Regions from separate parts of the Mus musculus genome. Here region 2 is reported to be linked to region 1. Evidence: microRNA targets listed by miRTarBase, many of them from high-throughput screens and not tested one by one. Region 1 holds a microRNA gene; the other region holds the end of a gene's coding sequence.

Region 1 (4,389 bases):
ATTCCTGGCCAAACTCAGACACATACGAAAGCAAGCAAGCAAGCAAGAGGGAGGGATGGGAAAAGGGAGGGAAGGAGGGGAGACAGAGAAAGACAGAATTTCAGATGCCTAACAGAAGCCTGCCTTCCCTGTGGTCCTCTGTGGGTAGCAGAGCAGACTTGGGCCTTCGCTTATTTGAACTCCAGTGGCTAGCATCTGTGCCTTGTAAAAGCACTTTATGCAAGTCAGCCTGCTGGCAAAGGCCTGTAATGCCAGTTACTTGGGAGGCTTGAGGCAGGAGGATTAAAAAAAAATCAAGGGCTGCCTAAACTATACAGTTAGCTTCAATGTCAGCCTGAGCAACCCAAAACAGAAAGTGAAAAGAGGGGCAGAGGGCGGAGGTGCAGTGGAGTTGTTCCAATGCTTGCTCACAGCCGTAAGGCTCTGGGTCCATTCTCAGCACTGAAGAAACCTGGCATAGTGGTGAAGGCCTGCAGCCCTTGCACTCAGTAATCAGACACAGGAAGCTCAGAAGTTCAGTGCCATCCTCAGTTACAAATGGAATTTGAGCAGGTGGTGATAGCACAGGCCTTTACCCCCAGCAATCAGAGGCAGAGGCAGGCAGATCTCTGTGAGTTCAAGGCCAGCCTGGTTTATAGTTTCAGGACACAAGTCTACAGAGAAAGCCCATCTTCACAAACAAAGGAAAATAGAATGTGAGGCCACATGAGATTCTGTTTCAGTAATAAAAGGAGACCATGGCAAGATATTGCACACCTCTAACCCAAGCACTCAGGAGGCAGAGGCTGCCAGATCTCTAAGTTCCAGGCCAGCCTGGGCTACATACAAAGTTCCAGGCCATCCAGGGATACACAGTGAGATCCTTTCTCAGGACAAAACAAAGAAACAATAATAAAAGCACTGTCACTCATACCTACATAAGATGTGTCTTTAAAGAAAATTAAAGGCCGGGCGTGGTGGCGCACGCCTTTAATCCTAGCACTCGGGAGGCAGAGGCAGGCGGATTTCTGAGTTCGAGGCCAGCCTGGTCTACAAAGTGAGTTCCAGGACAGCCAGGGCTATACAGAGAAACCCTGTCTGGAAAAACCAAACCAAAAAAAATAAATAAATAAATTAAAGAGTGAATAGATAGAGAAGCGTCCCTGTGGCAGGGACACTTAGGGACCTGACAGTGCTAACTAGGTGAGGGGAGATCAGGCATGGCAGAGGTGGAGCAATGCTGGAAATAGACACCTCCACAGAACCGAAGGTTAGGTCTCTCCTCCCACTCCCATTCACCACCCCTCACCCCCCACCCTCAAAGGAAGAAACAGACCAGACTGTCTAGGATAAGAAAGGGGGCGGAACATCCCCCAGAATGAGGGTCTAAATAGCAGAGGCTCAGCTGTGGGGAGTGTCTCAGCACAAGTTTCTGCTTCTCCACAGGGAGAGACCCAAACATATCAGGCTCTCATTGTGTCTTGAGCTCTGATGAAATGCCCCGGCCCTTACACTGGCTCCCACAAGGCCTGGGGGCTGAGGTGCTCCTCAGCTTCCCAGCAGAGGCCCACTTGTCCACGGACCTTGCCAGAGGTGGCTTGCAAGCTTCAGCTCTGCCCACCCAGCTCAAACAGAGTCAAAGCCTAGGGATGGAGTCAGGCTGAGGGTACATGGAGCCTGCTCCCAGATAGATTCCATCTAGGTCCAGTTGCCAGGACCTCCCTGTCCTATTCAGATTCAACTAACATTCCCATCATCACCCACAACAAACTGGGACCTTTCAGCGAGGCCCGAACAACTAAGCCCTGAAGGACGTGGTGAGGGTCTTTCTCTTTCCTAGCCCAGTGGGGTAGGCAGGTAACCTTCTTTGTGGGGTTGGGGGTGAATGGTCACCCACTTAGAAGACGGGAGGCAGGGTGGCGGTGTAGTGTCAGTGTTGGGGTTCTTGGCTAGCATCTTCAGCCTTCAGTTTCATTCCCAGCACAGGAAACTAAGCAGAAGATAAACAAAAAGGGAGCCAAGCCTCAGCTTGTCTCAGGAAGCCAGCAGGCAAAGAGTTAAGAAGCAGGGACTTCTAGAACCCGGGAAAACGTGCCCCACCCAGGGGAGGGGCCAGAGGGTTAAAAGCCAAGCTGCTTGAGTGAGAAGAGACAAGGCAGGCTCTCCCTGTGCAGAGGATTCCCTGGACGAGGCTCCAGCTCCACTCCAGCTCCAGGTAAGCAGTCCTTGGAGTGGCTGTCAGCCTGCTTATAGGTCTGCCCAGAGGGAAGCTCCTGCCTCACAACTTCGTTTCTGCCTGTAACTCTGGATCCCTAAGAGACCCGAGTAGACCTTAGCTTCCTTCTCTAAGCCACCTGGGGTTATCCTGGACCACAGGATCAGGGAGATGCTGCTCTGGGAGGGAAGTGGAGGAGCAGAGGTAGGGACTTAGGTGTCCCTGACTGACCCTGAGCCAATCCCCTGGCTCACTCCAGGCCTGCTGCTCACCTCCTCCTCCAGGACCTTGGCTGGGATATCATCATATACTGTAAGTTTGTGATGAGACACTACAGTATAGATGATGTACTAGTCTGGGTACCCCACCTCCAGAGCCTGCCTGGTTTGCAGCAGAGATGCAGAAGTACACGGGCTCACTGCTCGGCCTAATCAAGCCTGCTGACAGCTGTGGCACTTGGGAATGGCGAGGAAACCGTTACCATTACTGAGTTTAGTAATGGTAACGGTTCTCTTGCTGCTCCCACAAACTGTGCCAAGAAGAGCTCATGACCCTGGAGCAGACTGCTGGAAGAAAAGGACACCCAGGCTGACAAGAGAATGGGGTTGGGGGAAAGGGTACATTTTCCTCTTCACTGTGCCAAAGAAATAAAAGATAAGAATAAGAGCACTTGTCATTTAACTTTATTAGCATCCGAGGCTGGGTGGTTGGATGGGATGGGAGGACCTTTGTGAGTTTAAAGCTAGCCTGATCTATGTAGAGATAGCCAGCCAGTCAGAGTTGTAGGGTAAGAACCCGGTCTCAAAAAAAAAAATAATAATAATAATAAAAGAAAAAGGAAACACGGGTCCTTATGCAACTTCAAGGTGAGGAACTTGGGGGAGAAGAGAAAAATTGTGTTCCTACCAACAACTGGAAACTCAGGGCAAGAGTTTGGTTCCAATGCTAGCGGGGTGGACATGACTTAGAACCATGGGTTCTAGGGTGTGGTTCAGCATGTATCCTATACAACTGACTGAGACCCTAGGCAGAGGAACGCCCCGAGAACTGAGCTAAGTGGAAACATGGTTGGGCAAGCACTGTGCAGACTCGGCAATGCCAGGCTGGCTGGCACAGGACCTTCACAGGACCAAGGGCCTCTCCTCCCATTGATGACCGACCGACTAGGCCATCCTCTGCTACATATGCAGCTGTAGCTATGGGTCCCTCACAATGGAAACCAGTCAGTGTCCATGGCCCTTCCCAGTCCTGTAGACCCCTCTGACAGGGGTAGTTCTAGTCAGTGACTCTGCCAGCAGCTTGAGCAGGGATCCACTGGGAGAAGCAACAGAGGATGGTCATTTGAGGAGTTTCACAGAGAGGCGGATGAGAACGTCACAGTGGAAGATGTCCATGAGGTCCCGGCCCACCTCCTGTGCAATCTGGGAGATCAAGAGGCCCTTCTGACCAATCAGGATCCTCTGCAAGTAGTGAAAAGAGAGGCACATGGTTCTGCTCTTGGCCTCACAGATGGGGAAGAGGCCATGGGTAACACTGCTACCCTTCTCTGAGCATCCCTCACTTACCACATGAGATTCTTTGGGCACCAGAAGGTTCTGTTGGATCACTAGCTCTCCACTTGGTCCTTCCTCCCATATCACTGTCTTCTGTATAAGGAGACATCAGGACTAATCAGGCAGGCTCATCTCTGTATCTCTTGGTACCCAACTGTTCCAGGGGTGTGCCTGGTATACAGGCACTGTGTCCTTTTCCTCTGCCCACACCTGCTGCACACCGTAGGGCACCTCCTCAGGCAGGTACTCTAAGAGCTTCTCTCTGATTTTATTGGCACAGATCTCTTCGGGTGTCTGGCTAGTGAGCACACCACTGTGGAACTCCCAGGGTCCTGGCTGGGCCTGTGTCAGAAGGTATTGCTGTGGGAACAAAGGAAGAGTAGGTTCTTAACCCCCATCAGAACATTTGTTTATGCATGCTTCTAGGAGGAAAAGGCTATGACCCATCCTCATGTAGCCCAAGCTGACCTTAAAATTACTACATAGTAGCTGACTACAGGGGCGAGCTGCCACAACTGACTGAAACACCTTTAAGAGAGCATCTCAGGCAGATCAAGCTGGCCTTGTCCATCCTCGTTTGTCCAGGCTGGGAATGAGCCTCCAATCTTCCTGTCTCTATCTCCTAAATGCTATAGTAGCAGG
Region 2 (4,389 bases), not on the chromosome of region 1:
TAGAGTTGAAGAAAGTTACTCAGCTTTTCCAGGAAGTCTGAGAAAGAAGGACCTTACTGTGTTGTAAACAGAGTTTGAAGGATTCCATCATGTTTCAGCCCCCACCTTCATCTCCGTGGCAATGTCTTGGCCAGAGCTAGGGTATTCCATTGTAGCCTGGAGGCTGCTTCACTTTACCTTCTAGTTGATTGGCATTGTGTTTTTACCTGTCTTACTAATATAATAGCTATTTCATAGACTCATCCGATTTGTAGCTTCAAACTATTTTTTATGTTTTCCTCTCTGTTTTTAACCTTAAACCAGAACAAACCCAAAGGATTTTGCTTGAGTTTTAATAACTGATAGAATAAAATAAGTGCAGTAGGGAATGAAGTTAGCCCAGGCAGGCATGGTCCTTGGGTTAAGAAGCCTAGGGGAAATTCAGCATCGAGGCAGCGCTTCCATGTAAGGGTGGCAGTGTCCAAGCAGAGCAACTGTGCAGAGGTAACTTCCTGCAGCACCGTAGAGGTCATGGAAAGGATGGACGGCCTTTGGATCTTACTGAAGTTGACTTCCATCCCTAAAGCTGAGTTACTGTACAGTTCTAATGTTTGAATTTTCTGTTCTAACACAGGAAACTTCCTTTTTTCTACAGTTCATTGAGCTTTTTTCCTTTCTCTTATTCTCTCTAGCATTGACAAAATCTCTAAGATAACCTCTCCAGTATTAATAATTCACGGGACTGAAGATGAAGTCATTGACTTTTCCCATGGCCTCGCATTGTTTGAGCGCTGCCAAAGACCTGTGGAGCCCCTGTGGGTTGAAGGGGCAGGACACAATGACGTGGAGCTTTATGGACAATACCTTGAGAGGTTAAAACAGTTCGTGTCACAGGAACTGGTAAATTTGTAAACTACTCTGTAAATTTGCAGACTGGGTTTTCTTTTCTTGCTGAACTGCACTCCTTGGTAAATAACATAAAACCTGAAGGTTTTGTTTACAAATCATGTAAGTTGCCTTCATAACTGTACAGGTAATGATTTGTTAACAGACTTAATGAAGGTTTTAATTACCATAACTTGAAACTGGAAATAGCAGTATCATGCAGTCAGGCTGTGTAATTTATATTTTTTCTGTGAATTTTTTTTAAACATCAAGATGAGTACTGTATGAAATTTTAATTCTATAAAATCAAATGCTGTAAAAGTATTGTCAAATGCTTTTGCATATCAAAAGCAAATTTATAAATATTTTTAAACATCTCAATGTACTAAATATCCTGGTATACAAATGTAATATTCTTTCAAAAAGCTGTATATCTAAAGCAATTCAAGTACTCAGAATAAACTGTAAAAAACAAAACGGTTTGAAAACATCCAAATTGAGTTGATATATACTCCACTGTACAGGGATAGAGGCTTAAATGGTTATTTTATTGTTAAAAAAAATGCATTGACTTTTCTGTATTCTCCAATTATAGTACATTTATCCTTTAAAAAAATGAAGTCTTAATTTTTATGCCATCTGTTAACTTAGCAGCTCTTCATCCTGTCACTGAGAAGTCCTGATGGCGCTGGATTTTAACTAGTTCTGACTTATGTTTGGTACTGTGAGACAACTACTTAACATTTTCATTCAGTTATTTAAAGGACAGTTAGGGCTTCAAGAATGATTTTGTATGCAATGTTGTTTTAAATTTGACTAATTATTAGAACTGTAGTAGTCTTCCTTATATGAATACTTGAAACTCCGTTAGTTGATCTTCAAGACCACAGAGAGACTGGCTGTTTGGTTCCTTTCCACCTCTGCTGTTTTTAAGAGTAGGGCCTGTTCTTTTGGAGTAGTATCTGAGAATGTCATGGGTTCCCTCCTGAATGCAGGGGATAAGAAAACATGCCATACATTTTATATTAACCAGTATAGTAAAAAAAATAAAATAAATAAATAAAGCTCACACACAAAAACTAAGTTGCCTTTCCTTGAATGAATCCTGCCTGAAAAATGAAAGAAAAATAAAAAATAAACTAATGGTATATAGTCTTAATTTGTAATGAATGAGAATCAAAATAATACACACTGTGGATATGTTTTTAAGGCCTTATGTAATTTTAATTGTTCTGCTTGTTCTGTGGTTATGTCTAAGATTATAGTACACGATCTTCAAAGTATATCAAATATTGTGAATCCTTTGGTTCAGCTATGTCAAATTCACAGTAAAACAACAAATGTACCACTCGGCTGTGCTTGTGTGCCTTCTTCTGAACTCCTCACCCCCACAGAAAGAGGAAAAGTCACAACACCTTCCTGAAGTTTTCTGTATCTTTAAAATTTTGTTTTAACATTCTAAGTATACATTTAAGAAGGTTGCTTTGATATTTCCACATATGTGAATGGCTGTAGCCTTCTGTTTTCCACCACCTTCCAGGTCTCTTAACAGTAAGAATCCTGCATTGGTTTGGTTTGGTTTGGTTTGGTTTGGTTTGTTGGGTGATTGGCTGGTTTGATTTTTTTGAGACAGGGTCTCACTATGTAGGCCTGGCTATCCTGAAACTTGCTATTTGGAACAGGCTGACCTTGAATTCACAGAGGTGTGCCTGGCTCTGCCTCCCGAGTGCTGGGGTCGAAGGTGTACACCACCACACTCGTCTTCAGTATTCTACTTATAGATCAACTGTTTTAGATTCTGTGTGGAAAAGAAAACATCATGCTTATCATTCTATACCTGGCTTATTTACTTAACATAATCATCTTTAATTTCATTCATCTTATTGCATATGGCAGGATTTCATTCCTTAAAGTAATGCTCTGTTGTGGTTGTGTGACACATTTCACTTGTTCACTAATCTGCTTGTTACCATACTAATTATTTAATTGGCCAGAGCCTGGGCTCTGACATTTTCAAGAAGCCAATTAAACAGTAGTAAAAAGTAAGTCAAAAACAGAGGTCCACAGAGCCCTCTTTCCAGGTCCATCTTTGGAGTCCTGACATTAGGTTTAAGTAGAGGGCGAGGATATGCATAGCTAAATAGTGCCCGTTAAAGAGTAGTCCAGCCCACCACTGTCTCAGCTCCTGTCTCTCTAACTGTGGCCAGAGGTAAGGTCAGAGCTTGTTCCCTAGCAGCCCTAACAAGCCAGGCTTGGCATACATCTTTAATAAGCCCATTAAAAGATCCAGATTAACAGTGAAAAGCAGAGGCAGGTGGTGGTGGCACACGCCTTTAATCCCTACACTTAGAAGGCAGAGGCATGTGGATCTCTGAGTTTGAGGCCAGTCTGGTCTAAAAAAATATACTTTCAAGGACAGCCAGGGTACACAGAAACCCTGTCTCAAAAAAACAAAAACAGACAAAACAGTAAAAAGCAAATTTACTCAGTGTGGTCATACATCTGATTTTTACTATTGTTTCCTGTGTTTAGGGTCCTATCCAAATAGCCATTGCGGTTACCAGTTTCTCAACTATTTCATTTTTATTTTCCCTGGAGTTTGAGAGTGTCAGCTCTTTGATTTAGGCCCTTGATCCACCTTGAGTCTGTTTTGCATAGAATAGAAGAGAGGAGCCTCTTGCCATCCAGCTTCCTGGTACTGTTTATTGAAGAGGCTGCCCTTTCTCCTGGGCATGTTTGTGGTGCTTTTGGTGAGAATGAGCTCGCTGTGAGGTGTGTGTGTGTGTGTGTGTGTGTGTGTGTGTGTGTGTGTGTGTGTGTGTGTTTCTGTCTGTCTCCATTGATAGAGGGGCTGCTTTAGGCTGATAGCATGTCAGGTTTGGTTGGTAGTGCTCTGACACACCTTGCTTTGGTCATTTTGCCCAAGATCGCTATTTGGAGGCTTTTGTGCTTCCATGTGAACTTCAGCATTGTTTTTTCTAGTTCTTAGTTCTGTGAAGAATAACAATACTGATATTTTGATGGGGGTTGTGTCCAAATAGAGATCACTTTAAGAAACGTGGACTTTTTTAAACAATGTTGAGTCAGTGACTATGGAAGGTATTTGCATTTTACTTTCTGTGTCTAATATTTCTTATCAGTGTTCTGTAATTATTACAGAGGGCTTCTTTGCTTAAGTTTTATGTCATTTTCTTTTGTTATAGTTGTTGTAAGACTGCTTTCATTATTTTAGCAGATTTCTTTTTGTTATTATTTTATCTTTTCTTGTTTTTCAAGACAGGGTTTCTCTGTGTAGTCCTGGCTGTCCTGGAACTCACTCTGTAGACCAGGCTGGCCTCGAACTCACAGATCTGCCTGCTTCTGCCTTTCTAGGGCTGGGACTAAAGGCATTAGCTGATTTTTGTACTGATATATAGAAAAGCTATTAATTTTGTATCCTACAATATTGAATTTGTTCTTTATAGAGTCTTAGGTTTTTCTAAATACTGCATCATCTGCACAATGGAATAATTTTATTTCCTTCCT

Evidence for each region. Region 1 holds the annotated microRNA mmu-miR-451a (AAACCGUUACCAUUACUGAGUU, at 2,666-2,687, shown strand). A microRNA usually pairs through its seed, bases 2 to 8, with sites in the 3' UTR of a target mRNA and lowers its output. Matches are read on the target gene's strand: a 7mer-m8 pairs with bases 2 to 8, a 7mer-A1 pairs with bases 2 to 7 and ends in A, and an 8mer does both.
Region 2: the mRNA of Abhd17b is a reported target of mmu-miR-451a. Seed matches in the 3' UTR shown: 7mer-m8 at 1,340-1,346.

Annotation. Positions count from the first base shown.
Region 1 is chr11:78,070,521-78,074,909 of GRCm38, forward strand. It overlaps Mir451a (microRNA 451a), which reads left to right and starts at 2,650; the gene lies at 2,650-2,721. Eral1 (Era (G-protein)-like 1 (E. coli)) reads right to left here. Exons shown (of 10, transcript NM_022313.2): 8 at 3,958-4,107; 9 at 3,760-3,840; 10 at 2,856-3,654. The coding sequence ends at 3,532. Mir144 (microRNA 144) reads left to right here and starts at 2,485; the gene lies at 2,485-2,550. Mir451b (microRNA 451b) reads right to left here and starts at 2,721; the gene lies at 2,650-2,721.
Region 2 is chr19:21,683,427-21,687,815 of GRCm38, forward strand. Abhd17b (abhydrolase domain containing 17B) reads left to right here. Exons shown (of 4, transcript NM_146096.3): 4 at 672-2,211. The coding sequence ends at 891. Among named protein-coding and RNA genes, the nearest start is that of Abhd17b, 32 kb to the left of the region's middle.